Linked DNA regions of Macaca fascicularis. The protein of the gene in region 2 interacts with the protein of the main gene of each other region in a pairwise test. Links are inferred from orthologs where the notes say so. Each region holds a gene or a part of one and is shown on either strand. Other genes may lie near its edges. The genes, in order: SCAND1, PGBD1, NR4A1 and MEOX2.

Region 1 (6,551 bases), on a different chromosome or scaffold from region 2:
GACCAGCCTGGGCAACATGGTGAAACCCCATCTCTACAAAAATTAGCTGGGCATGGTGGCAGGTGCCTGTATTCCTAGGTACTTGGGAGGCTGAGGCAGGAGGATCACCTGGGCCTGGGAGCCAGAAGTTACAGTGAACCTAGATTGTGCCTCTGTACTCCAGCCTGGGCAACAAAGTGAGATCCTGTCTCAAAAAAAAAAAATTTAGTCAATGTGTTCGGTGTTTATATAAATTCTGGAGTAGCGTACAGTAACGTCCTAGATCTTCACATTCACTCATCACCCAGCCAGAACAACGTCCAGACCCGCAATCTCTACATACATATATATATATATATATATATATATTTTTTTTTTTTTTTTTGAGACCGAGCCTCACCTGTTGCCTAGACTGGTGTGCAATGGCGCGATCTCAGCTCACTGCAACCTTCGCCTCCCAGGTTCAAACAATTCTCCTGCCTCAGCCTCCCGAGTAGCTAGAATTACAGGTGCCCACAACCATGCAAAGCTAATTCTTGTATTTTTAGTAGGGACATGGTTTCACCATGATGGCCACGCTGGTCTCAAACTCCTGACCTTGTGATCTGCTCACCTCGGTCTCCCAAAGTGCTGGGATTACAGGTGTGAGCCACCACGCCCAGCCTATTATATATTTTTACTGAAACTTTTCTATGTAGATGCACAAATACCATTGTTACAACTGCCTATAGTATTCAGTACAGTCACATGCTGTACAGGCTTGTAGCCTAGGAGCAGCAGGCTCTATCACAATGCCTAGGTGTGTATAAGTTATACCGTCTAGTTTACATAAGTGCACTCTATGAGGCTCACACAGTAAAACTGCCTAAGGGCTCATCTTTCAGAAGGTATCCCCATTAAGGGACGCATGACTGTATAAAGTTCTTCACCTTTTTTTTTTTTTTTGAGATGGAGTTTCACTCTTGTTGCCCAGGCTGGAGTGCAATGGCACAATCACCGCTCACTGCAACCTCCGCCTCCCGGTTTCAAGCGATTCTGCCCCAGCCTCCCAAGTAGCTGGGATTATAGGCGTGCACCACCATGCTCAGCTAATTTTGTATTTTTAGTAGAGATGGGGGTTTCACCATGTTGTCAGGCTGGTCTCAAGCTCCTGACCTCAAGTGATCCGCCCGCCTCGGCCTCCCAAAGTGCTGGGATTACAGGCATGTGCCACTACACCCAGATAATTTTGTATTTTTAGTAGAGATGGGGGTTTCACTGTTGGTCAAGCTGGTCTCGAACTCCTGACCTCAAGTGATCCACCGCCTCTGCCTTCCACAGTGCTGGGATTACAGGCGTGAGCCACTGCACTTGTCCTTCACCTATCCTTAATCTTCTTTAAACATTACCTTTTAAAGAAGCCTGTTCTTACCTTCTAAACAACTATCTTTTTCCAGGGAGGCAGGTGCAAACTCTGCCAAGAAATCCCAAGAATGCAAAGATACTTCTCAATTTGTCTTTAATATTCAAAAGCAAAATGCCCCTCACCAACTTCCCAGCCCAGTCTCACTCATGCTTTCTGGTGTAAACTGCGGGCTGATTTTGATTGTTGAGAGCAGTGCAAGGAAGACAAGTCTGGCCTTCCTTATATTAACAAATGGCACTCACTGCAATAGGACCCATCTGGGACCAATCCAAGCTGTCCATGGACCCCAACTAGCTCCTTCCTGGTTGGGCAGAAGCCTCTGCAAACAGTAGGTTTAAGATTTCAGAACAGGTCCTCATTATTTGCCAAATTCTTTCTTCCCTTTGTAAACAGTTATGCTAGTTTAACCAAAAGGGAGCCTGCATTAAAATGAGTAGCTTCCGTAATGTAAATAATCCATTATTTCAACTAGTTCTGCTTAATTCCTACCACAGGCCTAAAATTTGGCAAGGAAGTTGAGCAAGTCTGGTGGCATAAGCCAGAGCTCACAGGAACTAGCCTATCTCTGTGAAGGTTTGCAGTAAACACTTCACATTAAAATGGCTCAGTAACTTGGACATTTTGGGAAGCCTGTACCCAAAGGGCAGGTGCAAGTTGGTGCTCATATTGGTATAGAGGTAGCCAGTCAAGTAAGCATTTAATAAAGCCAGCTATTTTGCGTGTAAGAAACCCAAGTGGGTCCTTGGGATCTCAGGTGAAAAACTTCCCATATGTGGTAGAGGGGATAACCCAGTTTCAGACAACATCGAAAGATCCCACTATAGCCAACGAAGGCCTTATTGTTAGGGACTCCCAACTTCGTTTCGGCACCAGCCAGAAAGGCGGTGGTAAATAGGCTTGGTAAAATAAACCCAATAAAGAACGAATGAAAGAGACACACCAGACCACAGGCGCTGCCAAAACTCATTTTTCATTAACATGGAGTGGGCTCCTAGGCTCAGGTCTCCGGACCCGATCATGGCCCCAGTCTACACAGAGCGCCCGGCCCTGGCCGCCCGCAGTTCCACCGCTCAACCAGTGATGCGCACATCCGTGCGGCGACGGACCCGCCGGGCCCGAGCCGCCTCGGGCAGGATGGCGAGCAGCTGCTCTTGCACCAGCATCTCCACGATCTGCTCCTTGGTGCGGATGTCAGGCCGCAGCCACTGGCGGGACAGCTCCCGCAGCTGCCGGAAAGCCTCCCGGGGACCCGCCGCGTCCTGGTAGCGGAACTGCCGGAAACGCTGGCGGAACGTCTCGGGGCCGAGTCTAGAACCGGCGGGGCCTGGTGGGGAGCGCGTTTCGGCTTCGACCTGAGGCGCGATGCTCACGGGTGCTGGCCCAAGGGGCAACTCCCGGGACGCGGAGGCCGCAGCCCGGGGCGTAGGGATGGCTTCGGGGACCGCGGCGTTGGGGCTGGAGGGCTCCGGGGCAGGCGGTGAGGCCTTCGGCAGCGAGGAGCCCACAGAGTTAAGCTCAGGGTCTGAGCTCGAACCTGCTCCTTCCGGTTTCTCCGGTGGCACCGCCGCGGGACTCCCAGTGGCCCCCAAGATCGGCTCCGTTGCCGCCATAACTCCAGCTCCGGGCGTCACTCTTTGTCCGGTAGCTGTGGGCTCAGCACTGCGTCTGCGCGCGGGCGGGGTGAGCAGGGAGACGTTTCCGGTTAAAGGGCAGAGCTCGCGCCACCCTTGAGGGAGGCGGACTCGGGACCGGCCGAGAGTGCGCGGAGCTTACCTGCACCAGCGAAGCGGCTGCGGCAGCCGGAAACGAAAAGTCTCTGGCTTCTCTGCGTCCAGGTCGGCGCGAGAGCCCCCGGAAGCCGCTTGCGGGCTCTCGGAAGCGGCGCCCTCTAGCGTTCTCGAGTCGCATGAGGCGGCGGCTGCCCTCGGAGTGCAGGAGGGCGAGCGGCGCGTGGCTTGGGCTCCTTCCGAATGGTGGCGCCTCTGAGCGCAAGTTCGAGGAGGAGTCGGAGGAGGAGCCTGAATGTTTCGAGGTGAACTTTTAAGTCCTGGAACTTATTCTTGAGCCGCTTCGGTTTGCAGGTGACCTTTCCGTGCGGGCGCCCCTCCTGATTGACCCTGATGGGCTGTAACTGTGACGGCCCCTCCTTCAGGAATGATTAGGGTGACAGCTGGCCGGGGCTTGTCCGGGTGGCGCCCGGCCTGTGACCCGAACAGGGGAGCGGGACGGCGGTCGTTCTCTCGGGAAGGGCCCGGCTGGAGAAAGTCCTCTCGCTTGGTCAAACTAGGAGGGCGATAGCACCCGCCTTACTGCGAGGATGACAAACTACAACACACCGTCTGGCGCGAAGGAAATGCTCGAGAACTCTTTGCTATTGTTATTTTTCGCGTGTCCTCCGAAACCAAGGGAAGGGAGGCTCTGTAGGTTCTGTTAACTTCAGGATTTAATAAGTGAATTGTAAATGCATTGCCCTTTATGGTGGCCGCTGGCCGCCTGAGTTGACTGAGCTCTTGCAACGGAGCTAGTTGATAACCCTCGAAATATAGCGAATTGAGATGTGCTATATTGTAAAATACGGGACTTAATACGAGAAAACTAATGTAAAATATCTCAATACTTTTTAATACTGATTACATGTTGTAATATGTTTTGCATATACTGGGTCAAATAAAATGTTATTAATTTCACCTGTGTTTTTACTTTTTAACTGCAGCTACTAAAAAACATTTAAATTGCATGTGCGGTTTACTTTATATTTCTGTTGAGCAGCCTTGGGTTAGAGGATTGGAGTGAGGCTGCCTTTTGCCTTGGTGGAATCCCCTTTGATGGTACCCACCTCAGAGTTGCTGGGAGGATTAAATAAGTTAAGCCCTTGGAGAGAAAGGGCTTTTAAGAAGTTTGCTTTTGTTTTTATTAGGTAAACTGCTTGCTATCTCTGAGCTACCGTTTTCTTAACAGTAAAATGTGGATGTAATAGAACTTACCTCTCAGAGGTCATTGAGAATTCAGTGAGATGATGCAGGTAAAAAGCATGTGGCCCTGACAGCCCTCGGCCAGGTGGTTTTCTGTCTGATAGCTGACTCACAAATAGTTGTTGTTGCTTTTTTCTTTTTTTTTGAGACTGAGTCCTCCACCTACCGGGTTCAAGTGATTCTCCTGCCTCAGCCTCCTGAGTAGCTGGGATTACAGGCGCCCACCACCACACCCGGCTAATATTTTGTATTTTTGGTAGAGATGGGGGTTCACCATGTTGGCCAGGCTGGTCTCGAACTCTTGACCTCAGGTGATTCACCCGCCTCAGCCTCCCAAAGTGCTGGGATTACAGGCGTGAGCCACCGCGCCTGGCCACAAATAGGGTTTGTATCCTCATTTTACAGAAGGGGAAACTGAGGCCCTGAAAGGACAGGGGCCTCATATGAAAGGTTTTGTATGACACTTGTAGTCCTTTTGAGCTCTGTGCAGGATGGAGGAGCATGTTTAACAACCATTAACACGCCGTTAGCCCTGATATAAAACTTGTCCCTACCATAGGATGTTTCCTTTGGATGGGTAGAAGTGGACCCTCATGAAATCATTACCATAGCCTGAAAACCTTGAAAGTCATTGCAATGGGCCTTTAATGCTTTTTAGTTGCTGACATGTGAAAATTGGGAGATTTCACATGCAAATCTGGATTTCTGGTTTTTCCTGAAAAAAATGGAAGAGCTGGCCACACTGGACCCAAATTCCTGCCAGTCAACAATCAACTGACACTGAGTAGAGACGACTTCCTTTAGACAAGATACTCTGTCCCATTTGGTCTCAATCTCCACCATTCCCTATGGTTCTCTGAAATAGAATGTTGTTTGCATTTACTGTTGCTCTCAGGTTGTTGCTTTATTTAGAGCTGATATTTTTCTCTATTCTATTCAGAGGTGAGAAAGCAGGGCCCTAGTGTTTGTTATGCCTACTGGCTTCAAACCTGGACTTCTGTCTGGCCCCTTGGTAGTTGGGTTTGCTGCATAGAGTGACCAACAGTGCTATTCCCTGTGTGGCAACAGGCACTCAGCTTCCAGGGCTAAAGGAGCACACTAAACCCTTCTGTGGAGGCAAGAGGTGCTAGAAGTCTTCACTGGGGAGGGGACTTCAAGCTGAGACGCAAGAAGAAAATGGGTGGGGCTCAGGGACATTCCAGGTAGAAGGTACTGCCTGTACAAAGGTACATAGTGAGTAGGAGCAAAACTGTAGAAACTGCAGGCTACATGGGAAGGTGGTTGCGATCTGGAGAAGGGGTGAGAGAGGTTGGAACACTGCTGGAGGTTAAATCATAAATGTCCTAGAATTCCATGTTTAAAATTTAGTTCTTCTCATGAAAGGGAATGAACTTTTGTGGCACCTGGAATATTATGAAATGTTATGTTAGATCTTTAGTTTATTTCTTCCATCCCTATTAAAATCGTGAATTATTAGAGAAGGAGGGACCTGAGAGATCTATTAGAATCATTGAATGTTAGACTGGAAGGGGCCTTAGAAATTGAATTTTAAAATCCAGCCCTTTATGGGCCGGTAAGCCTGCTTTAAAGTGATTCAGCAGTAAATAATAAATAATGTGGAGGGAATAAATGAAACAAGATTGGCTCAGTAGTTGGCCAGGTGCAGTGGCTCATGGCTGCAATCCCAGCACTTTGGGAGGCCTAGGCAGGCGGATCACCTGAGCTCAGGAGTTCAAGACCAGCCTGGGCAACATGATGAAACCCCGTCTCTACTAAAAATACAAAAAATTAGCCAGGCTTGGTGGCTCATGCCTGTAATCTCAGCACTTTGGAAGGCTGAGGTGGGCGGATCACTTGAAAGATTGGCAATATGTACACTCTACTTTTGTATATGCTTGAAAATGTCCATGATAAAAGTTAAAACATTCAGATTCCCAGAGTCTAAAAAAAAAAAAAATGTAATGCTTCTTCTTCAAAAAGGGATACAGTTATCTACTTTCATGTGAGTTACATATATCCTTGAACCCTCCCAGGGGTCCCAGATTAAGTTAAAAATATACATTTATATTTCATTCTTTTGAATTTTGCAGATTGAGAGGCCAAGATGCCAGAAGATGGATTGGTCCAAAATAAGAAAGCTAGTAAGTGATTCCATGAGGACAGAAATCGTTTGACTTTTAGCCCAAATTCTTATC
Region 2 (8,116 bases):
TTCTACTGATCAGGCTTTTCTGTTTGAGTAGTATCCTGTAATATCCAAATATACAGTGAAGTGGGAAGTCACTGTGTCTCCATTTCCCAGTCACTCACTTGTTTAAAAAACTGATAAAGTTACTATGTAGTTTGCCATTAAAAGTAGTATGGAAAAATAGGAAAGGGAAAAAATAACCCTAATTGTCTGTATTAATATCTTCATCAATTATTAATTTATACCTGATAGAAGTTCATATCCATTGTTTTAAAAACTTGAAAAATGTAAAGAAAGCAAATCATCTTGTTCATGGTACAGATATAACCTCTTAATGTAGATTTGTAGATAACTGGTCTTTTTCACATATAAACAATTGACTTTTCTCACTGGACTTTATGTCATGAACAATTTTTATGTGTAACAGACAGGATAGTCAATTTACCTATCCTCACACCCCATTCTAATCCACTCCTGCCATAATTCTGACTGTGCAGCCTGCCATATGACCTGTCCCCCACCACTGATGATTGGATCAGGAAGGGACCCTCAAGCCAGGCTTTAGATGCCCATAGGAATTTGACATTGGATCACAGATTCTGATTAATGTTTATTAGGCATATGAACCCAAAAGTAATATAGAGTTGGAGGCTAGGTGCAGTAGCTCATTCCTGTAATCCCAACACATTGAGAGGCCCAGATGGGAGGATCACTTGGACCCAGGAGTTGGAGACCAGCCTGGGCAACATGACGAAACCCCATCTCTACAAATAAGAAAAAAATTAGCTAGGTTGGTGGTGCACACCTGTAGTCCTAGCTACTTGGGAGGCAGAGATGGGAGGCTTATTCAAGTCCAGGAGGTCAAGGCTGCAGTGAACCATGATTGCACCACTGCAGTCTAGCCTGGGCAACAGAACAGGACCCTGTCTAAAATATACATAGAAAAATAGAGGACACAAGCACACACTGGAACAATTTTGGTGGCCACATAAAAACCAAACCAAATCGAGACAAACTGAGAAACAAAAAATGAAGCGGACTCCTGAAGTGGGAATCCCATGAATCAGGTGTGGCAACTTCAGCCCTCAGCCTCTGCAATCCATATATATCCTGGTCTTGGGAGTCCATAGAATACTGTTTCCTTCTAATAAAGGTTTCAAACAAATCCCTGATTAAGACATGCTAATCATTAAAAGTCTTCGTGGAAGGTAATTTTCCATATAAGCTGTGCAATATTCTATGGTATATGTCTCCAGTGTTAATCATTTACGTCATTTACACTTTGATCACCATAAACAATTTTTCAGTGAACATTCTTGGAAATACAACTTTGCCTACTTACAGAATTTTTTTCTTTGTTCAGTTGCCATAATGAGAATCAATGAGGCAGAAAGTAGGCATGTTTTCTAAGGCTTTTGATGTATTTGCCAGAATGCCCTCCAGAAAAGTTATACTAATTTGGATACCTTGTTAGCAGCCTGTGATAATGCCCAATTTTCTATACCCAAATAAACTCTGGGAATTATTCTTTTGAATATTTGACAACTGATACATACAAAATGGATTGCTTTTTTTAATAGACTACTTTTTAGAGCAGTTTTAAGTTCTCAGCAAAATTGAGAGAAAGATACAAAAATTTCTCATATACCCACTGCTCCCATTCAGGTATACCCTCCCCTATTATCAACATCCTGTCCCAGGGTGACATTTGTTACAATTGATGAACCTACATTGACATATTATCACCCAAAGACCACAGTTTACATTAGGGTTCACTCTTGGTATTGTACATTTTATGGGTCTGGACAAATACATAATAATGTGTCCACCATTGTAGTTTCATTGCCCTAAAAATCCTCTCTGTCTTACCTATTATGCATCCCTCCCTTTCTCCAGTCCCTAGCAACCACTGACCTTTCTACAGTCTTTATAGTGTTGCCTTTTCCAGGATGTCATGTATACAGGTGGAGTACCCCAATCTGAAAATCCAAAACACATTACAATGTGAAACTTTTCAGCACCAATATGATGCCACAAGTGCAAAATTTCACACCTGACCTCATGTGACAGGTCATAGACAAAATGCAGTCAAAACTGTTTCGGCCAGGCACAGCGGCTCAAGCCCGTAATTCCAGCACTTTGGGAGGCCAAGGCTCCTCACCTGAGGTCAGGTGTTTGAGACTAGCCTGGCCAACATGGCTAAACCCCATCTTTGCTAAAAATATAAAAATTAGCCGGGTGTGGTGGCACGCACCCGTAGTCCCAGCTGCTCGGGAGGCTGAGGCACGAGAATTGCTTGAACCCCGGAGGCGGAGATTGCGGTGAGTCAAAATTGTGCCTCTGCACTCCAGTCTGGGCAACAGAGCAAGACTCAATCTCAAAAAAAAGACTTTGTTTCATGTACAGAATTATTTAAACTGTATAAAATTAGCTCTATGTGAGTAAGGTATATATGAAACAAATGAATTTCATGTTTAGACTTGGGCCTCATCCCTAAGATATTTCATAATGTATGTATATATTCCAAAATCTGAAATTGGAAACACTTCTGGCCCCAAGCATTTCAGATAAGGGATACTCAACTTGTTGTTGAAATCGTACAATATGTAGCTTTTCAGATTGGATTCTTTCACTTTCTAGTATGCACTAAAATTTTCTCCATGTCTTTTCATGCCTCGATAGCTCATTTTTTTCATTTTTTTCTTGTTTTCTTTTTCTTTTTTCTTGTTTTCTTATAAACAGATGTTTATAGCAGCTTTATTCATAATTGCCAAAACTCAGTGGGTAAATGAATAAATAATGGGTCTGTTTTTAAAAGAGTGTTTTATATTTTTACTATTGAACATCTTTTCACATGTTAATTTGTCACTTACCTTGTTTTGTGTATAGTAACATTCATATCCTTTACTGATTTTTCTACTAAAGTCTCCTTTTACTCTTAAACAGAAGTGCCCTTAAAAATCAAATAGGGAACTTGCATATCAACATTTTAAATGCATATGTCCTTTGGCTGATCAGTTCTAATATGTGGCATTTATCCTAGAAATACATTCTTAAAAGAATGTAAAGGTATTGAATGATGTTCCCTCTAGCATGGCTTTTAAAGAAAAAATATAACCTAAGTATGCATCAATAGGATAGTTAAGTAAATTATGGAACACCCATACAATATTACTTAGCTGTTAAAGAATAAGCTGATCTGTGAAGATCTCCAAGCTGTCTTAACCGAAAAGAGCTAAGGTGCAAAATTACATTATGATACCATAAGTGTTTTTAAATGTATAAATGCTTATTCACTAAACAAAATGTTTATTACATGCTACTGTGTGACAGGTAGTGTCCTAGATAAATATGCACAAAATACAATGGTTAACTCTAAAGAGTGGGACATTTTTCGTTTTATGGTCCTTCTGCAACTTGACTTTTTTATTGTACGTATATTATGTATACTTAAAATAATTTGTACAGCTTACTATAATGGTCTTTTAATTGATCTGTTTCGCCTCCTAACCAGTGATGACCCCGAAGACAGACATTTACCACTCTGTTGGTTTTTTATTGAAATGATGTACATAAATGTGGGGCGTGCTTGCACCGTCCGGATGGGCCTGAGGTCCGGCAGCGGAGAGCGACCTGGGCGGGGCGGGAGGTGGCAGTGGGGGTCCTCCCGGATCACCAGAGAGACGAGCGGCCGTGCTCCTAGAGAGGCAAGGAACCCGCCAGACTCCGCCACTCGGCTGCGGGCGCGGCGAGTGGAGAAGCTTTTGTGCTGGCCCAGCTGCCGGAGGCGCCGGCGACACCCATCAGCCCCGCCAGCCCGCCAGTAGCACGGCTTGGGCTCTGGGGAAACCGGCGCTCTCGACTGGGCAGCCCCGGGCCTCTGCGCTCCCTCGGGAGCCTTTCACGAGGTCGGCTACGTCTTTGTTGTGCGCGTTCCTGAACTTTTGGTCCATTAACCAACAATTAGACACGCAGGTATTCAGTGCCTGGCGCGGTGCTAGATGCTGGGTGTAATCTCAGAAAAATACATTCTGGGGTGCGCCTGAGGGTGCTGGCTGCTGGCATCTCAGGTGCTTTACGTGCATTCGTGAAGAAGTCCATCAGTATTTGTTGAATACCAGGTACGTGCCGGGCTTGTAGAGTCTATGCAGAGATAAACTCCTGTCCTCAAGAACCCGGGTGGGGATGGGCTGGGTGATCTGTAATACGAGATGGAGGAGATGAAGGTTGGGAGCAGTTTTCCATGGGAACACCCATCTCTATCTGTGTGGCTTACTTTTCCTGTCTATATGTTAGGGTTAGGGGTGGCCAGGGAAGGTTTCACATAGAACATTTGCGCTGGCCCTTGGGATTTTACCCTTAGAAGGGGGGTCCTGACTGTATAGAGTGGGTGGAAAAAAAATTGAGTACTTAGCATGGCAGTGAGATAAGGAATTTGGGAAGACCATGGCTTTCTTGAAAGTAGGAACTAAGTCTTTTATTCCAGAGTTAGCTTTATGCCTGGAAAACAATGAGATGCTCCACAAATGTTTATTGAGTGACAAACAAATCAGCAAAATCCAGTAAAGATTAGATCCTGGAGAGTTTGAGTTTACTTCAACGAGTTTAATGAAAACTTTGTATGTGTTTATGTGTGTGTAAGGTATGTTGAATATGGTCAGAATTGTGCTTTAGGGAATATTAATCCAGTGACCATAGAAGCGGGGAATTGGGCAGGAATACCATAACATTATTGTGACAGTGAATGAAAATGATAGTAAAATAATAAGGAAAGAATGGCTGCAAGAGGCATTTTTAAGAATTGACTTGATTCACTGATTGTATATAGAGGCTGTTTAAAAGACTGAATGCATGGAAGATGATGGTGATGCCAGTAGAAATGGAGAAATACGGAGTGAATGCAGCTTTGAGGAACTCTGATCTTAGTTTGAGATCTGTTGAAATTATAGTGCAGGAGAAGCCCACAGCTGCTGGCATTTCAAGATGTGGGTTTGGAGTGCAAAAAGCAAGCTGGAGCCAAAGATTTGAGTCTTCTTGGGAACAGAGATATATTGAAAGTGTGACTAAGGAGATCACAAAGGAAAAAATGAAGAGAGGGAAGAAAAGAACTTGATGCATTTCTACTGTTTCAGTTATGTGTTGTTGCATCAAAAATCAAACTCTAAACTTAGTGGCTGAAAACAAGCTCAGCTTATTGTTCCTCAGGATTCTGCAGGTTGACTGGGTAGTTCTACTGGTCTCACCTGGAGTTACTAATAGAGCTGCATTCCGCTGGTGAATTATTTGAGCACTAGGCCCGGCTGGGTTTTAGCTTGGTCATTTTGGTTCTCATCCACATGACCTCTGTCTAGCTAGCTTGGGCCTCTCACAGCATGGCAGTCTTATGGCAGTGAACCAAGAGCTACAGCAGCACTCTCTCTCTTACAATGTCATTTCTGCCGTATTCCATTGGTCAAAGCAAGTCATAGGCCAGAACAGATTCAAGGGAAGGAAAAATAGACTCCACCCCTTGATGAGAACAGTGGCAAAATCTCATCACAAAAGGTATTTGAGGATGGGAGACTTTGGAAGCAGTCTATTACACCTACATTTAAAGCGGAATATTCAGTGAGAGTTACACAGATATAGATGACCTTTGAGACTGTATTATTTGCCCATGAAGGCAGCCATCTGCCTCCTCAATGGGTAAAATGATCCCTTCTCCCCAGCTAAAGTGCAAGCTTCTTGAGCATTCTTATTGCTAACGCTTCTTCCCTCATATCCTACATCCCTTACCTCTGGACTCAGACCCTTTAGTACTAGTTCAAAACATACTTCTGATTCATTTCACTGAGAAATAGAAGGAAGCAGGCTCAGCTTTTGAGCACTACCTACAGTGGGTACAAAAATATAAGTAGATTACATACAGTTTTGAAGGTCTTAGAATTTGTGTGTTGCTGATCAATTCTTATGCCTCAGATCTCTATTTCTGAACACAGACCCCCAAGCTAAGTGAAGCTTTAGCCTCTAAACTCAACATGTATGAAGCTTTGCCAGGCCCTGCTCCTGAAAATGAAGATGGCCTTGTGAAAGTGAAGGAGGAAGATCCCACCTGGGAGCAGGTGTGCAACTCACAGGAGAGCAGCTCCTACACTCAGGAGATTTACCGCCTGCGCTTTCGGCAGTTCTGCTACCAGGAGGCTCATGGACCCCGGGAAGCTCTGGCCCAACTCCGAGAACTTTGTCATCAATGGCTGAGACCCGAGATGCACACCAAGGAACAGATAATGGAACTGCTGGTGCTGGAGCAGTTCCTGACCATCCTGCCCAAGGAGCTCCAGCCCTGTGTGAAGACATATCTTCTGGAGAGTGGAGAGGAGGCAGTGACCGTGCTGGAGAATCTGGAGACAGGAAGTGGAGACACAGGACAACAGGTGGGAAGAAAATGTGTGTGGTGGTGCGGGAGAAGAACAGGGGGACATGTATCAGTTGATGTTTAGCTTTTTATTTTGAAATAACTTCTAATTTATAGAAGTATTAGAAGAATAAAGAACTCCTGTAAACTTCATCCAGATTTGCCAGTTAACATCTGTTTCATGAAGTCCCATTGTTGTGTACACACTTGTGCAAGGAAGTGCATCTCCCCCAATATGCATATGTACATGTATACACGCACATACATACATACACACATACAGTATTTTTTTTTTCCTCAAACCATTTGAGAGTTAGTTGCAAACACTATATCCCTTTACCTCACTGTTGCCCAGGCTGGAGTGCAGTGGTACAATCATAGCCTCATTGCGGTCTTGAACTGCAATGGTGGAAGGCTCAAGCAATCCTCCCGCCTCAGGCTCCTGAGTAGATGAGGCTACAGGTGTATGCCACCATGCCTGGCTAATTTATCTTTAATTTTTTGTAGAGGGGGTAGGGTCTTGCTGTATTGCCCAGGCTGATCTTGAACGCCTGGCCTCAAGTTATCATGCTGCCTTGGCCTCCCAAAGTGTTGAGATTACAGGCGTGAGCCACTGCACCCGGCCATTCAGTGTGGATTTCTGAAGAGTGAAGACATTCTGTTGTATAACCAGAATACAAAAATCAGGTTTAGGGAAATTAAAATTATGATACTGTCATATAACCTTAGTCTTTATTCATATTTTGCCATGTTATCCTAATAATGTTCTTTATGATAATTTTCCTCTGATTCAGGATACGAGCCAGCATCACATATTGCAGTTAGTTGCCATATCTCTAGTCTTTGTGAATCTGGAGTAGCTGCTGTCTTTCTTTGTCATGACATTGTTATTTTTGAATAGTACAGCTAGTTTTTTTGGAGAATATCCCTCAATTTGAGTTTGTCCTATAATTTCTCGTGGTCAGATTCAGGCTGCACATTTTGACTAGAATACCACAGAGGTAATGTTGTGTTCTCAGTGCATCACTTCAGGAGGTGCGTAGTGATGATTTGTCCCATTACTGATGAGGTTACAGTGGTACCTGTCAAATTTCTCCACTAGAAAGTTACCATTTCCCCCTATGTAATTACTAAGTAATCTGTGGGAGACATTTTGAGTTGGTGTACATATCTTGTTCCTCATTAAACTTTGACCAGCTAGTTTAAACATCCACTTGTTTGTTGTTTTTGTTTTTCTGGGCTGGAGTCCTTTGCCTATCTTTTCTGCTTTGTTTGCTGCTGTATCTTCAGCATATAGAACAGTGCCTGGCTCTTAGCATGCAGTCCATATATGCATGCCTTTTCAAAATAAATCTTTTGTTTCCAGGCCTCTGTCTATATTCAGGGACAGGACATGTGCCCAGTGGTGACAGAATATCAAGGAGTCTCTTTGGAATGTCCGAGCCTCCAGCTCCTGCCTGGGGTAACCACTCTGAAGTGTGAACCTCCACCGCTTCCTCAAGAGAACCCCCAAGAAGTGAGTGGTGAGTGCTAGAGTGAGTTTAGTGAGGACAATGGGAACTGGCCACTGACACTTGCACAGCCTTCTTGTCCTCAAGTTTGTATACATTGTGAAATGATTACCACAAGCTAACTTACGTATCTCACAGTTACCTTTTATGTGTCTGTGGTAAGAATTCCTAAGATCTACTCTCATGAAATTTCAAATATACAATACATTATTATTAACTATAGTGGCCATTCTGT
Region 3 (8,071 bases), on a different chromosome or scaffold from region 2:
CAGAGCCATATAAACACATCAGCATCTAGTCCCTCCACCTCATACCCTTCTCTGACGTGCACAAAAGGGCATGTTGCAGGCACAGGAAGGGAGCTATTGTGAGGATAGAGCGGAATACCCCTCTCTCCTTAAGAGGCTCTAGTTTGGCCCCTAAAGCCTCAGAGGCCCCCAAAAGGCAAGGGTTCCACTCAGAGTAGAGTGGATGTGGGATCCCAGACTGTCTGGGTTCAAATCCTAGTTCCACTGCTTATCACCTTGGGCAAATTACATAATCTCTTTGTACCTCATGCTCCTCATCTGTAAAAATGATGACATCTCTAAAATTAACAATCACAGGGTTATCAGCAGGCTTTTAAAACAGTTTTTTTTTTTTTTTTTTGAGACGGAGTCTCGCTTTGTCGCCCAGGCTGGAGTGCGGTGGCACCATCTTGGCTCACTGCAAGCTCCGCCTCCCGGGTTCACACCATTCTCCTGCCTCAGCCTCCGAGTAGCTGGGACTACAGGCGCCCGCCACCTCGCCCGGCTAATTTTTTGTATTTTTAGTAGAGATGGGGTTTCACCGTATTAGCCAGGATGGTCTCAATCTCCTGACCTCGTGATCTGCCCACCTCGGCCTCCCAAAGTGCTGGGATTACAGGCGTGAGCCACTGCGCCCGGCTAAAAAAAGTTAATGTGTAAAAGACTTAGGACAGTGCTAGATACACATATCTGCTACATGTCATTATTAGGAGAAGTTCAATGAGGACACACACATAAAAGCTAGCCACAGACCCTGGTTCCTAGTCCAAGGCACCCTGGGCACCTGGCCTCTCCTTCCAGGGTGGAAGCCAACTATGTGCCTCACCCCACACCCCAGCCTCTTCAGCTCTCCCCTAACCCCGTTCAGCTAGGGTACCTTGACCCACATCTCTCCTTCTCTTCCTCCACCCACTCCAGTGCTCTCTCCTCTCGACTACGCTCCAGAGTGAGGGCAGGACCAGGCCTTCACTGGCTATTGGACTGCCCTTAAGACCGATGAGGTCTGGGAAAAGAGAAGGAGATGATGGGAGCTAGGAGGGACAAAGAGGAGGAGGACCCCAGAGGGTGGGCAATGGGCTTCCTCGTCCTCCTGACCTCTGCCCAAGGTCTACAGGCCAAGGGGAGGACCTCTGGCCCACAGTACCCAGGCTCTCCCCTTACGACATTACCAGCACCCCTCCCTCCCGATCCTGTGGGTATGATGGGGAGCAGGAAAAGGCCACAGGAGAGGAGGGAAGGGAGGGCAGACTGGAACATCTGGAGCATCTTTAACCCTAAACAGAAAGCAAGACGAGGCTTCCAATCTGCCCCAGCCCATGGACTACACCTGCTTTCCAGGATGACAGTGTCATCCTCCCATCCCCTGGAAACTGGTCTATAATTTCCCCCAGCCTTGTCTTTTCTCCCTACCAGCCCACTGCTGAGAAGGAAGGGTAGGGAGGGCCAAATACCACCTACCATAATCAGGCCCAACCTGAGCACCCAGCTCTTCCCCATCTGGTTCTCAGAACAGGGGCCAGAGTCTGGCACCTGGTGGTGCCCACAAATGATTTTAGCATCTTCAAGCAGGTATCTGTTTCCCTGCCTGCTCCAGATCAAAATGCCCCCCTCAATAGTCACACCACAAGCATTTACTGAGGACCCCCTGGAAGCTAGGCAGCGTGCCCCGAACCACAGGAGAGCCAAGAATGAGCACACCAAGATCCCAGAGCCCCAGGATCTGATAAGGGATGAACCAAGGTCAAGGACAATCTGCACTGGGCAGAGGGCAAACCAAAGGCTGAGTGGGCTTGGCGGAGAAAGTGACCCCCAAAATGGGGTGGACCATCAGGCCAGATTTCAGTCCCCAGTTCCTGCTCCCCACCAACCTCATTTCCCAGCCACTCGCTGTGGTCCCGTCACATGGGCCTTCTCTCCCCACTCAGGGCCTCTGCATCCACCGTTCCCTCTGCCCAGAACTGGCTCTTCCTGATCAACCAGGTTTCCATTCCCATGTCACCTCCCTGAACAGCTTGTACCCCCACCCCACCACACTAGCCTGATTTTTATTCATCAGAGGTCTAATGTTCACATCTGTTCACTGGTTTATTACCTGTCTACCCAACCAGAATGTAAGGATGCTGTCCATCAGAATCACTGCAGAATCTGCAGTCTCTAAACTCTGCTCAGCACTGGCAGGTGCTCAGTAAGTGTGCGTGGAAAGGTGGGGGGTGCACATGCCTGCATTGGAGCTGTGCTGGGAGGAAGGTCAGCTAGGTGGGGACAGCATTCCAGCTCAAGAGCTGTCCCTTCCATTTGGGGGCAGATCCAAGAGCCAGAGCGTTCTTCCTTATGTTGAATCACATCCCTGACTCTAAAAGTCCCTGGATCCCTGCTCTGTCCCCTGCACTGGCCCACAGGAAGCCTCATTCTAGTCCTTCCTAGCAAGTATTTTAGTCTTTTCTTAACTAAACTGCTCCTTGCAACAGGACACCACTGACAGGCCCTCTGCCTGACAGGCCCTGGTGGCCTCCTGAGTACAAGTTCTACATTGGCCAATATCCCTACCCAGAAATGGGAATATTATTACTATTAGCAATAACAACAGCCGCTAATATTTGTTAAACAACATGTGCCAGATACATTAAGCACTTTACATGCATTTTCTCATTTCAGCCTCACAATGCTATGAAGAAGGGATTATTATTATAAACATTTTACCAATGAGGAAACTAAGGCCCAGAAAGAAATGTTAAGCAACTTGCCGAAGGTCACACAGCTAGGAATTGGCAAAACTGAGATTAGAACCCAGGGAGCCTAACCAAGGAGTCCAGAATCAGGCATTCTTGCTCCCCCTACCGCCCACTTGGACCTGTGTAGTGGATGGAGGCTTCACACTGCACAGAGCAGTCCCACAGCCTCCGTCCAGGGAACAGCTCAGAAGCTAAGGGCCTGGGTTCCTGGGCCTTTGAGCCAGGCACAGGGCCTGAACTCCTCAGCTGACTTTCTTAAGTCCAGCAGAGGCCTCAGCACAGGCCTCGTCAGTCACATTCACATTGTTAATCTCAGCCCATCCTTCTGCCCAGTTGCCTTCAATTAGAATCTTGATTTTATACTGTGCACTTGTCATTCCTCACAGCTCTGCATGACTACAAGGAGTCGGCTGACTTCCTTTTTAAGTCTTCATCCAAGTCACCGATCTTAAACGTTCACTTGGAGTAGGTCTAGGAGCAAGTCTTGTAGCCCCACCACTAGGGCTCCAGGCCAGGCTGACAACAGCCCCCAAATCCATCAGCACCCACTGGGCATAACTGTTGTGAAACCGACCTCTGCTCAGCCTGCGTTTTCCCAATGTGCCGCTAATACTAGCCCCACATCCAAATTAACAATTCACTGTAAACCACCTCTGTAGCGTTTCCCCTATCCACCAGGTCATCTATCAAAAACGAAGGCATAAAAACGATATGAGCCTGCCAGGCGCGGTGGCTCACGCCTGTAATCTCAGCACTTTGGGAGGCCGAGGCGGGCGGATCACAAGGTCAGCAGTTCGAGACCAGTCTAGCCAATATGGTGAAACCCTGTCTCTACTAAAAATACAAAAATTAGCCAGGCGTGGTGGCGGGCGCCTGTAGTCCCAGCTACTGGGGAGGCTGAGGCAGGAGACTCACTTGAACCCGGGAGATGGAGGTTGCAGTGAGCCGAGATCACGCCACTGCACTCCAGCCTGGGCAACAGAGCGAGACTTCATTTCAAAAAAAAAAAGGGGGGAGGTAGGTTGTGGAGGGGAATGAGCCAAGTCAGGGAACTGTGTCCTGTCCTCAACACAGACCACCATGGTAAGGAGGTCTGGAAATACCGCGCCCCCACCCCTCCCAATACAAGGAGGGAAGATGTTGCGGCAAAAAAACAAAACAACCACCAAAAAAACACGCCTGGGAGACACAAGCCCCAAGTCCTAATCCCCAGCTCCGCCTGATTCCACGAGACCCCTAGCTTTGGTTTCTTGACTCAGTCCCGTGAAGGGGTTGCATCGCGCAGCATCCGTCCCTCCCGGCTGGGTCTCCTGGTAGACTCCTGGAAGCTCCCGCGCTCCTGGAACCGGTTCCCGCAGCCGGCGGGGAAATGGAAGGAATTTCTCTGGCCTGGCCACCTCCAGCGCCCCTCGTGGGCCAAACCCCACCCTTGGCGGGCTGGGGAGAGAAAGCCTTGGCCGTCGCCCTTGGGGACTGACTCTGAGCCAGCAAGTTCCGCTGGGAATCCAGTCCCTCCCCCGACTCCCCAGTTTCCAAGCGGGACTCCGGCGTGGCCCTGAGCCCGCCCCAAGGCATCCACTAAAGACCCGAGATTGCCCAGCCTTTCTGGGGCCCACCTCCCGCCACACCGGCAGCCCCTCACCTGGCCCCGCGGGCTCCTCTAGCCTCTCCACTCCTGCTTTCCGGGGTCGCGCACCAGCAGGCCCTGAGCTGCTCTGCGCCGCAGGGGCGCCCATGCCTGGAGGCCGGGGGTCGCGGGCGCCGCGCTGGGACCCCGCCAGTTCCGCCGCCGCCGCCGCCTCGCGCTCTTGCAGCCGCGCCGCCGCCGCTCGGCGCCCCCCGCCCCCAGGAAGCCCCCCGCCCGCAGTTCCGGCCTCGCCGCGCCCCCCTCCCCCGCGCCCGCGGCCGCCCGCGCGCTGTCCCAGCCCCGGCGCGCCTCCCCCGGCGGGCGGGGCGGGGACCGTGACGCGTGCCCATTGACGTCTCCGGAATCCCGGCGGCGGCGGCCGACGCAGCCTCATCAATGGGGCTAAAAATAGCTGCGCCCGGAATAGCCGCGAGCGCCCCGCCCCGCGGCTCCCCCTACTCCGCACACCCGGTTACATAACCAGCGGCCAGAGCCGGGGAGCTGGTTCTCAGGTGAGGGTGCCGAGGCCTCGCTCACACCTCCCGAGGCGGCGCACCTGGGGCTAGGTTATAAATAAACTTACCCGGGGCTTCCCCAGGAAGAGGTGGAAAGAGAGAGGCCCAGAGAGACTCGGTGGCGGCCGAAAGTCACACAGCGATTCGGCTACTGGCGAAGGCAGGGCCTGGCCTTTTGAGTCTGCGGGCGCCCTGCCTGCATCGCTTGGCATTCATGCCATCCCAAGGGCAACGAACCCAGGTAGTAGAGTACCCAGCTTCCACACGAGAAGGCAGCTTACAGAAAAATAGGACTTCCTCCTGAAGAGGGCACTGCCCGAGGTGGTGGTGCAGGCCCCGGCAAAGCCCAGATGATGGATTCACTGACCTGGCTGCTCCCATACCGCTGTGTGACCTAGGGCAATCACTTGACCTCTCTGAGCCTCAGCTTCATCATCTCTAAAACAAAGATGATATGATCAGATTATCCACCCTATCTGGCTGTCAGGATGATAACAGCTGTGGAGGTGCCTTGTACACAGTAGACCCTGAGGGTTAGTTCTCCCTGCTCTCCCCAATCCACAGGAGTGTTTAATGCATTCAGAGACCCACCACCGTGGCCAGGAAGCCCTGGAAGGCCCACCCTCCTCTGACCGGAGTCTCCAGGCCCAGGCTTCCACGGTAAGAATCTTCCTGGGGGTGCAGGCACTTGGAAGGTTTCTCTCTCCCATGTGACTGGAGCCTTCTTTGGAAATGGGAGAATCATCCTGTCCTGAGCAAATCCTTCTCCCCCATCAGCTGCCCACTCAGGAAAGGCTGGTCAGGAAGGCCAGCTCAAGGTTGGAGCAATGGTGTTGGGGCTGGCTGGGTGGGTGGGGTTTGGGGTTACCATCTCTGTTCCTATACCTCCATACAGGCAAGGTCACTGGGGAACACCCATTAGGGAGGATGCAGTCATGTGCTCTGCTGTGCCAGCCACTAGTCACTGCTCCCTTTTGGAGCCACCTTAAATTATGAGCATGCTATACAATCTCCAGCACCCAGGCCAGGCCCCACGCAGCAAAGAATCTCTTCTGTGCTCAAAATTCTCCAAAAGAGGCCCCACACCTCCACTCAGCCCTCATTCCAGGGGCTGCATTCCTCTCTCCACCCCGCTGCCCACCCCCAGAAATCCTTTGCTGGACCAATCCTAAACTCTTGGTGAAACTCGGAATTCCCTTTCTCTCATTCTTCATAATGATCCCAAGAACCTCTGGTTTGTCTCAAAATCACCTCCCAAGAACCTGTACATTTCTCTCCCAGGTTCAAGTATTAGGTCAATTTACAGATAAAGAAACTGAGGCTTCAAAAATGGCAAGGTGTCAGGGTGGGGGAAAGGGACAGGCTTTTCCTCACTCACCCTGTGTCCTCCTCTTTCCTACCCCAGCAGCTCCTTTCCGATGGGCTTCTTAGAGGAGCAGCTACCCCACCCCCTCTTTTCCTTTCTTTTTCCAGAAGTCTAACTTTTGAAATACATTTTAAAATATTTGCCTGTGTGGGAGAAATACATTTATTTAGACAGGAAGGGAAAAAAAGGGCTCAGTTACCAGTTTTTCCATGAAGGCTTCCAGCCCACAGAGGTCTCTCCTTTCCATAAATACTTTCAGCATAACTTGTCTTTATTATATATTCTCCTATTTATAATCAAATAAAACATATTCTAAAATGTGGAATGCCAGAACACGCACACTTAGGGTGGCATGTGGAGGCGGCGTGAGATGGTGGAAGAAGCAGTCTCTAGAGGTCTGGGATGGACACTGGTTGTCAGAGAACTGAACAGCTGTGGAGGTGCCTCGTACACAGCAGGCACTCAGAGTTAGTTCTCCTCCCTGCTCTGCCCTAGGAATGTGATTTCCCACAAGAGGCTCTATCTCTTAGCAGCTGTGTGGCTTCAGGGAAGTTACTTGCCCTCTCTGGGCTTCAGTTTTCTCACCTCAAACACAAAGATAAGAAACCTATCTCACAGGGTTGCCATGAGAGTGTCTCTTTGATAGCAGACATAAAGCATGGAGTCTGGCACATCGTGGCAGATCTACCATTTCCATACAGGAGGACTTGGAGGACTTGGGACCTTGTCTTAAAGCTGTACATCCAAGGTGCTTACCCTAGCTTTGCTCAGCTGGTATGTTTATTGGGAATACTGGGGGTCTTGGGGGTTGCACAGATAGGAGCAATGTCACCTCTTAGTCATTACAAGTGTCCAGTAAACATCAGCCCCATTGTTGTCTCCCTGATCCAGGTCACTTGGCTAAGGAGTGGCCCAGCCAGAACCATAGCCCTGGTCTTCTGTCTCCATAGCCCAGGTCTTCTGACTCCCAGGCCAGTGCTCTTTCTACCCAGCCTCTTGTTCCTTCATATCTGATTCCTCTTTTTTCTACAGGCACTGCTTCACAGCCCCTATTGCAGATAGGAAAGGTGAGGAGAGAAAAGGTGAACAACGTGCATGGCCCAGGGAGTTGGAGCAGAGGGGAGACAGGCCCCACGGCCAGTGACGCCCCACATTGTGGGAGGTTCCTAGAGGACAAGCTCCTACGCAGAAAGCTGACTCCTAGTCTGATGGGGTGGCAGGACACAAGAATAGGTATGGAAACATTGCCAGGACATCCAAGAAGTGGCCTCCAAGAAGCCTTGAGCTGGCATTGGAGTGGAATCTAGAGGACTAATCTCAGAGGCCTCCCTGGAGGAAGAGAATGTAGGGCCCAGTGTGAAAGAAGAGACAGGACCAGGCAGGGTATAGGGAAAAGGCACTCCATGGAGGACAGAGGCTGCCCCCAAAGCTTAGGTATGCAGCAGGGCACGGCTGAGATCCTGAGGGTGGGAAGCAGTGGGCCAAGGTGAGTCACAGGACGCAGGACCATCAGCCAGACTCTCAGTGGCCCTCCCCAGGTGCCCTTCCATCTCACAGCATCTGAAATCCCACCCCACCTAGGAGACACCCTTCCACTCTACCTCCACCCTGGCCCTCTGAGGCGGGGGTAAAAGGATGTCCCTAGGGCATTTAGACCAAGAAGGGGCTCCCCTGCTCAGGTCCTAGCCCTGAATAAGGAGAGGGGCTATGGAAGGGATTCCCTTCATGGTTTCCTTCCTCTTCTTGAGGATCAAGAACTACCTGGCCGGGGTCCTCCGACCTCTCCCCATGCTTAAGAGCAATTCAAGGGCCA
Region 4 (8,137 bases), on a different chromosome or scaffold from region 2:
ATTTCATTTTTGCTTAAAATTAAATTCTTAGGATGTTTAGAACTTATTATAAATATTACAAACTTAAATTCTAGGGTTATAATGAATGGTCTATGTTTTCAAACACAGAGGGAAAATGGGGTAATGGCTGAAGTACTGTTTTTTCAGTTTATTAGTAAAAATCAGCTTATAATATGTCAATGTAATGGTTTCTATTGATAATTACCGTAAACAAAGATTAAAATTTTAAATACTAAGTTCTGGATTTCGAAGCCCAGTGAAAGTTTGTGCAATACCATGACTTGCATTTATGATTTTTCTTTTAAAATGAACTATAAATGAAGAAATTTACACAGAAGTGGAAACTATTCCTACTTTTATTTGCATTCTTCCTTCCATTCATTGCTAACATTCAACAATAAAGCATTTTAATTCTAAAGGAATTGTTGCTTTTAACTTGAGTGTGATTATTTTAGATTGTATTTTAGAACACTCATGTAGGTCAATGATACTTAGAATTTTTTATGGCAGATTACCATTTTTAAATGTTCACACCCAAAATTAGTCTATGAGTCCAAGACAAAGAGTGAAAAACAAATCCATTTGATTTGTTCAATACTTCACTATAACCTTCAAGATCCAGTATATTATTTTTAAATTCTGAAGCAAATGCCGAAAAGCCACAATCCAGTAACACAGAAATGAAAAATAACACTATTTTATTCCTTTCAGAAAACACAATGATTGAAATGTCTTGGAAATATTACAGTGTAATACTGAATGAGGTTGAGAAGGTATTACTCTGAGTTTAACTTCCAGCTTATTAAATGTAATATTTGCTACTCATTCTGCATAGTCAAGCATATAGACAGACATAATTTGACAGCAAAGGCTTTATGATATAGTAGCTATAAATAAAATATTTGTAATTTTACAAGAATCTAATATGATTCAAAACCTAGTTAAATCTACCTCCCCAAATCGCTCTTTTCTTTTTTGATATAATTTTTATTTTTTATAAAATATGTATTCATAAATTTGAATAGAAAATATCTAGATATGTACACTGTATAATGCATGCACAAAAGCTAAAGTTAGATCAATGAATTAATTTTAGTTACTTTAACTAAAAGTGGGCAGTTTATTCCTACTACTAGATTGCTCAAAGAGCAATCAAATGTAATTGAAACCAAGCAATTCACACTATTTATAGACATTTTTCAGAATCACCTGCTTTGTAGTGATTTTTTTCAGCACAGTTGTAAAGTTTTGATTTTTAAGAGTCCCTTTGAAGACGTGGCAGATGTTGGCTTTGCTAATAATGCTGGAAAGCGCAGCAGGTTCAAAGTTACAAAAATGTTTAACACATATAAAATATAACGGCGTGCTTTTCTATTAAATTTGGTTATTTTCAATTGTCAATAAACTTATGTAAAGGAAGCCTAAAGTCCATAAATATTTGCTTCCAAAACATGAAGCTGCTAGAGTTTATATATGTGTGTGTCCATGTGCATTTGTGGAGGGAAAATGCATAAAATATATACTATAGAAGCTTACATATTATAGTTTTAAATCATTACTATAAATTAAATAGTAAGGTTTATAAATATTTAAGCTGTTTTTCAATATTTTCTGGTGCTTAAAATTCTATTAGAATTTAACATGGTAATTAGCGCAAACACATACAATCTAGGTATTAGATGCAGGGATACAGAATTTTGGTTCTGACTTTACCCTGGATTTATGTACTAAATCTTCTCTCAACCATAAATGAAAAGTAATTATAAACTACCTACCAAAATACAGATGGTCTCACTATATAGGATGAGATTTTTATCTAACACAATTTTAAATTTCAGGAGTTCTGAAAGCACTTCAATTTTGTTTTTTACAAATAGTGAAATACTAAAATGTGCTATAAACAATGAGAGATATACGTATTAATAGCATACCAGGATCATAATCATTTTCAATGTTGCTTTAGTTTGTGCTGGATCAAGATGTCTATGAAATAAAATATCTTTGAAGATAACTTATGGAAAACCTAATGCAATTGTTACACGAGAAAGATATCTTTAATTTAAATCTATCTGAATATCTGACAAATATACCTCAAGCTGAAATTGGAAAATAAAATTTTATTTTCAATAAGTGTACATAGATTTAAACAGAAATTATTGGGATACTTCCTTTTAGTCAATATTTCTTCAAAATATCAAAGGAAAGAAAAGCTCGTCCTAAGTCCCCAGTATTTTTATCCTTGGTGATGACTAATTGTACTTTCCACTCAAGTTTTAATCTGTTAATAATTTATGCAGCTGACACAAACACTTATATTGGCTTGTTTTTCCAGTACCCTCATTATCAGCTTCAACATGTAGAAATGAACTTAATTTTGTTAAATGGTTATTTCCCACTAAGTTAGGAGGAGAGATAAACACGTTTTGTTAAATTATTCCACTTTAAAAAAATTATTAAAATAAATTAAGGGAATCAGTTACTGAATTCCACTTTCTTGGTTTCCCCCAAACAAAATAACATGTGCTTGTATGAAAATTCAGTTTGCCCTAAGAAACTTAAGAGCAATGGCTCAGTTCAGGAAGCATAAAGGACAATCTGTCATGTAGGTTACTCATTGCAAAAAATAAAATGAACAGTAAGAGCTTACGGGAATTGCAAGAGTACTCTCATCAACCTGAACTGGGATCTGCTTCCAAAGTGACACTGATATCAAATGTTCGGTTTATGAAATTGTCACTGCATTCTAAAATTGACTGTTTTTCTAATACAAATTGAAACCTTCTTGCTATGATTAACCATTCAACTCACTATCTAAAGAGACTTTCACTTATAGTTAGGAAAGTACATTAAATATCAGTGACACTACTGGTAATTTTCTTATAAAAACTAATTTGTGACAGAACATTAAAAGTTCACCCCCTGACCTTGGAAAATAAAAGTTAGCTTTTGAGACCATGACAGAAGAATCCATCCCATAGGATTGCTGAATAACAATTGATATTGCTGTGAAGGGTGAAGGAATATTAAATATGCGGTCAATCATTTTCATTTAGGTGGCATCTTACCTAAAGCTTTATACACGATAAACATTTGTCCAATACTTCAAACCAACATATGGGATTACCTTCTAGGACTATTATTAACCCAATTCCGCAGAGGAAGAAAAATATGCAAATGTTATATTAAACAAATGATATCTTCCAAAAATATGCAATCCAGGTTGCACTATAGCCACGAAAGAAAACTCACAAGTCTCTTAATTTTAAAGTATCTTTTAACAATTTTATGATAATACAGGTAGGTAAGAGCTTTGAAAAGTGGTCTGGAAAACTTTGAGTTTCTCTGGATTGCTACAGAAAAGTTACTCGGCAAGTGTGTCTTCAAGTACCAGAGGTCAGAAAGGTTTCCCTTTTCCGTGGCTGCTCAAATTATCCCCCACTAAAATCAGCGCCTCCTGCGCGCACCCTTACATACCACCTTCAGGCACGTAGCTAACTAACACTACCCGAGCTACTGTTGCTTCGCTGTATTTGTCTCTACTAATACCCACTTGGTAGAGGGATTTGTTTTCCACTTTTGAAACGTTGATTCTGTAATTAGCTTACACCACATGAACATGTACTATTAAGGTTCGTCTTTCTTCCAATGTGAGCATCTATTTATTTACAATTCTCTGACACATTCCTTAAAATCTGAATTCCTAGATAATGTCTTTTTCCCCAATAAAGGGAAAATTTTACCATTTGAAATAGGGTGCTATTTAAAGAACGCTGAAATAAGAATGTTAGAAAAAAAAAAAAAAAAACTAAAACTTTTTTTTTTCTCATGCGCTCTGCCAAGTTCCACTGCAAGTTCCAAATATTGTGCAATGATTTGGAAATCCAGTTAACGATGGGAAAAATCGAGCCACTCACAGTCGGGAACTTGCAAGAGAAAAGTCAAGAAGCGGCACCCGCACGCACGCCTGCCCAACCGACGCTGCATCTCTGGGCGCACGCCCCTCCCTCCCCAGCGCTGGGATGGAAGGTCACGCTTCGCAATCGATTTCACAGCCACTTGTCCTTTTTTATCAACCTTCTGGTAAACTAGTTTAGGACCTTGGAGAGCTTAGAGCTGCTGGCTGTATATGCATTGCTCTCGGATAAACACGTGTCCCCCAAATATCAGGACCAAAGCTTCACCGCCGAATTTGGCCGCGGGAAGCCACAAAGGGCAACACATTCCCATATTCCCCGCTGCCACCCTGTAGTGCGAGAATCTCCCCTGGCATCTCTCCGCCCCCTTTCCAGGCCGGCGCGCACTCTCGAGGGTGCCTGGTGCGCCCTTACCTGAGCTGTCGCTTTTCCTCTTGCCACCGCTTCGCTTCTCCGCCTCCGCAGGTGACAGTGCCTGGCGGCCGTAGTCCCCCGGCGCGCACGCGGCCCCAGTCGGGGTGCTGGAGCCCAAGCTGGAAGAGTTGGAACACAGGACCGGAGGGCTGCTCCCCAACTCTGGGGGCCCTCCGGAGTCGGGCTGGAGGCAGAGGCTGTGTCGAGCCGCACTCGGTGGGGAAGACATCTGCGGGAGGTGCCAGTTGGTTTGCAGAGCCTGGTGCTGCTGCTGCTGATGATGGTGATGGTGGTGGTGGTGGTGGTGGTGGTGCCCCCTGTGATGCTGGCTGGCAAACATGCCTTCTTCGTTGGGGTATCCCGCGATTATGCAAGATGAGGAAGAAGTAGAGAGCTCGGGGTAAGACATATGGTCAGATCTTCCATGGAGGGCGAGAGAAGATTGGGAGAACGGGTGCAAGCCTTGCGCCGTGGCGTGAGGGCTGCGCAGGCAGCCAAAGAGCGGGTGTTCCATAGCATGCAAGTTTCAGGTTCCAGGCAGAAGACTTCAGGACGGTTCCAAAGGTCACCACCCTCTGTCACTTTTCACTGGAAACCGTATGATTTTTTTTTACCCTCCCAAAGCAATAGCCGTGCACTTCTGCAGAGCTCGGATAATCCCGGTTCTGAGCCCCAGCGACCAGTCTCCTTTGCATATGAACAGTCGGACCTGGAAGAGCTTCCCTGAACTACTCAGATGTCAAGAGTGGGAGAGGTTGAAGCCAAAAGAAGGTGGTCCCAGAGAACTGCTTTCAGGGGGAAATGGCTCTGAGAGGTTATAAATAGAGTGTAACGTGAGCTGGGGGCCGGCTTAGGAGCCCAGAGTTGACCACATGCAAACTCCCTCCAAAACTCCCGCTCAGTTTGCGCCACGCGCTCCCCAGTTCCACTTCCTATCGCCTGCTGGACAGACGCAGAGCGTCCACGCCCGCCCAGCACTGCCGGCTGCCAGGGCTACAAGCGGCACGCCAGTGCCTAAGTCCCGCCCGGGAGGGCAGCAGCTCTGCCCTCCAGACTCTGGAGGCCTGGGCGCGGCGCACACCACCCCCAACCCAGCACCCTGATTCCTACCTACTCACTTTCCTCTCCGGGAATCGTGATTTGTCAGTGTCATTTGTGAACTGTCACCTGCAGAAAAGCTAGGGATATGCCTAGCCTTTCAGGAACCCAAAAGAAGTAATAGGGTTAAACGAAAAGATCAGAGCTAGTTAGGCGCATCCTCGAAGTTTTTCAAACTTCGCATCTTCCAGTGCCCTGGGCGCCGCAGCGCGCCTAGGTTTTCACAGCTGGTTTCTGTGGGTGGATTGTTAATGGGCTGGGACGCCAGATCTGAGGTTGTGGGGATGAGTACCATGGCCTGGAAAAGGCAGTTCTCAGTGCGGAACCAAGAGGGACCCGGTAGGGTGGGTGGGAGGAAGGCGTGAGTCTGAAAGGGTTGCAGATGCCTGTTCCCTGGCATCCTCTTGTGCGATGCCAGGTGGAGTCTCCCTTCCCCCTCTTTCCTGGTCCCGCTCAATTTCCTAGCCACTTGTCCACCAAGAAGAAATTTTCCTGGGTCAAAAATATTTCCAGGCGATTTTGTCCCGGTCACATGAGATGTGTAGATTGCACGCACATATCTAGCCTTTCCCCTCAGGAGCTAGCCTAGGTCTCCGCAGTTTCCTACAGAAATCCACTCTCTTCCCCTCAAAAATAAATCCGCTAATCGCATCCCTTATCACCACCGTCCCATTTACTGAGAAATCTTACATTTCGATAGCTCCCAAAATTCACTAAGCTTGGGCACTTGGCTATAACTTTGCATCCGTGAAAATAAATTAGAAAATTTGCCTCCAGTAAGCATGCAAGAACGATGGCAGGGCTTTGAGACTGCCACTTGTTTGGCGGGTGACAGGGTCCGCTGGGGGCAGAGTCGTTTACACACAAGTGAGTGGCTCTGTAATGAGCAGGAGAAACAGTCAAGTCCCATCTGGGACCTGTCGCATCAGGAGAATATCTGTAGTCACCTATTCCGCCCGGGGCCCCAAATGCACCACCAGCAGTGTCGCCCCGTTATTTTCATTGTCTCAGGTGTCCAGAGGATGATGAGCAGGTCTTTGAAGTTGTTAGTGGGATTAATGGGTACAGCAAACTGGGCTAGACATCTGGTTTGAATTAGGAAAAAGTATTGATTAATCTTTGAGAGGTGTCCCCAAAGCAGAACCTTCCCCCTCCTCTTCCAGTCCCCCTGCTTAAGCCTCACTATCTTCTTTTCTTGTAAGTCATGCTGTAGAATAGTGGCTTCTCAAAAACATCCGTGTGAAAGATCGAATTGTTTTCTATTGCTTAGAGGTGGGGTGGAGTGGGGGTTGATCAGGAATTCTGAGATTTGTAAGCGCTGCTTTCTTTAACGGAAATTGAGCTCTATTTTGAGGGAAATTAGTTTTGCAGACTTCGTTTAAAAAAAAAAAAAAAAACTAAAACTTTTGTTCACCAGCTGCTCAGCTTTTCAGTCTGGGTCTGAGCTGAAACCTGCTGCAAGTCTTTGACGGTAAGAATTTCTTTGCCGATACTTTGGGAATCTAATATTGTTTTAGACTTCGAAAGGGGGTGTTGTTCAGGTTGCACGTTTCTAGGGGCTTTAAGCACTAGCAGGATGGCGTCCAGGACTTAGATCTTAAGAATATTTCTTCCTGCCACTCCCCACGCCCTTGGCTCTTTAAGAATAAAAAGAGGTGGGGGAGTTATAGTCCTCTAATATCGTCGGAATATTTTTTGTATTTTCATTGTGTTTATGGTTTCAATATGTGCTCTGATATTAAAAGTTTAAGTACAAAGAGCAACACTAAACTTCCCCAACTTGTGTAGCTTCTCTATGGATTCTAGGTGAAAGCATTAAACGCTTTATTTAAAGTGAGATTTAGGCAACCACCTCAATAAGCCTAACCAGAAATATTTACATAATACAATGCTGTCAACTAAAGCATTGTGGAAAATGTCAGACAAGACAGACTAAAATTACACATGATCTGCAGACATCAGTCCAAAACATCCACAATGGTCCTTTTGGTTTGCATTACATTGGTTTAGAGGAAGCTAAGCAATTACCAAATGAATGGATTTGAATTTAACCAGAGTGTTGCAGGTAACTAGCAACAAGAACACACAAATCTTTCATCTCCCAGAGCTGCCACTTCTTCTTAAACCTGCCCAGTGACTGTGCTGGATTTTTTCTCACTCATTGTGTCAGATGTTAACAATCTGTCCAGAAGTTTCTCTACAACCTGCCCCAGTCAGTCAGCCTCTAGAACTTTTTCTAGAAGAAAAATTTAGGAAAGGTTAGAAAAGGAGGAAGTCATTGCAAAGGCATGCAATGAAAGCAAAGGTAGTAAGATAGGTCTTTTTAATTGGAGACGCAAAACATTTAATATCAACAAAAATTATGAAGTCCAGTTTTCTTATAGAAAACACAACATAAGGAAAATATTTGAAAGGAAAAAAATGAAGGACTAAAAAGGAGGTCTTGGTAAATTCCAGAATTAAATAGGACTTTAATTTTCTCTGGATTTCTAAATATGTATTAATCATTACATAAAGATTTTTAAATATTAATTTATTCAAATATTTGGAATAAGATAGAATATTGAATTTTATGTTCTAGGTTTTAGAGAAATTTTTAAAATGTAGTAAAAACAGGAAAAAAAAATCCTTAGCTTTCCTATAACAGCTACTTCAGTGTCACATCCATAAAATCCAATATTGAGAAGATGCCTCTTTATTTAATGATATCA

The links.
Region 1: the proteins of PGBD1 (region 2) and SCAND1 interact in binary tests that used the Homo sapiens proteins (3 or more experiments, as listed by UniProt). The two-hybrid records come from large-scale screens. The link is inferred for Macaca fascicularis from reciprocal best matches to the Homo sapiens genes PGBD1 and SCAND1.
Region 3: the proteins of PGBD1 (region 2) and NR4A1 interact in binary tests that used the Homo sapiens proteins (3 or more experiments, as listed by UniProt). The two-hybrid records come from large-scale screens. The link is inferred for Macaca fascicularis from reciprocal best matches to the Homo sapiens genes PGBD1 and NR4A1.
Region 4: the proteins of PGBD1 (region 2) and MEOX2 interact in binary tests that used the Homo sapiens proteins (3 or more experiments, as listed by UniProt). The two-hybrid records come from large-scale screens. The link is inferred for Macaca fascicularis from reciprocal best matches to the Homo sapiens genes PGBD1 and MEOX2.

Annotation. Positions count from the first base shown.
Region 1 is NC_088384.1:92,036,028-92,042,578, forward strand, and holds SCAND1 (SCAN domain-containing protein 1), read right to left. Parts: upstream 3,214-6,551; 5' UTR 3,158-3,213; exon of another isoform or gene 3,096-3,157; intron 3,050-3,095; 5' UTR 2,995-3,049; coding exon 2,455-2,994; 3' UTR 2,334-2,454; downstream 1-2,333. Other genes in the region: CNBD2 (cyclic nucleotide-binding domain-containing protein 2), read left to right, coding at 3,291-3,416, 6,447-6,497. UniProt on the Homo sapiens protein: May regulate transcriptional activity.
Region 2 is NC_088378.1:144,897,755-144,905,870, reverse strand, and holds the start of PGBD1 (piggyBac transposable element-derived protein 1), read left to right. Parts: upstream 1-3,677; 5' UTR 3,678-4,097; intron 4,098-5,934; exon of another isoform or gene 5,935-5,954; 5' UTR 5,955-5,993; coding exon 5,994-6,389; intron 6,390-7,736; coding exon 7,737-7,893; intron 7,894-8,116.
Region 3 is NC_088385.1:58,870,088-58,878,158, reverse strand, and holds the start of NR4A1 (nuclear receptor subfamily 4immunitygroup A member 1), read right to left. Parts: upstream 4,694-8,071; 5' UTR 4,487-4,693; coding exon 4,393-4,486; intron 1-4,392. UniProt on the Homo sapiens protein: Orphan nuclear receptor. Binds the NGFI-B response element (NBRE) 5'-AAAGGTCA-3'. Binds 9-cis-retinoic acid outside of its ligand-binding (NR LBD) domain.
Region 4 is NC_088377.1:114,504,457-114,512,593, reverse strand, and holds the start of MEOX2 (homeobox protein MOX-2), read right to left. Parts: upstream 5,122-8,137; 5' UTR 4,843-5,121; coding exon 4,329-4,842; exon of another isoform or gene 4,282-4,328; intron 1-4,281. UniProt on the Homo sapiens protein: Mesodermal transcription factor that plays a key role in somitogenesis and somitogenesis and limb muscle differentiation. Required during limb development for normal appendicular muscle formation and for the normal regulation of myogenic genes.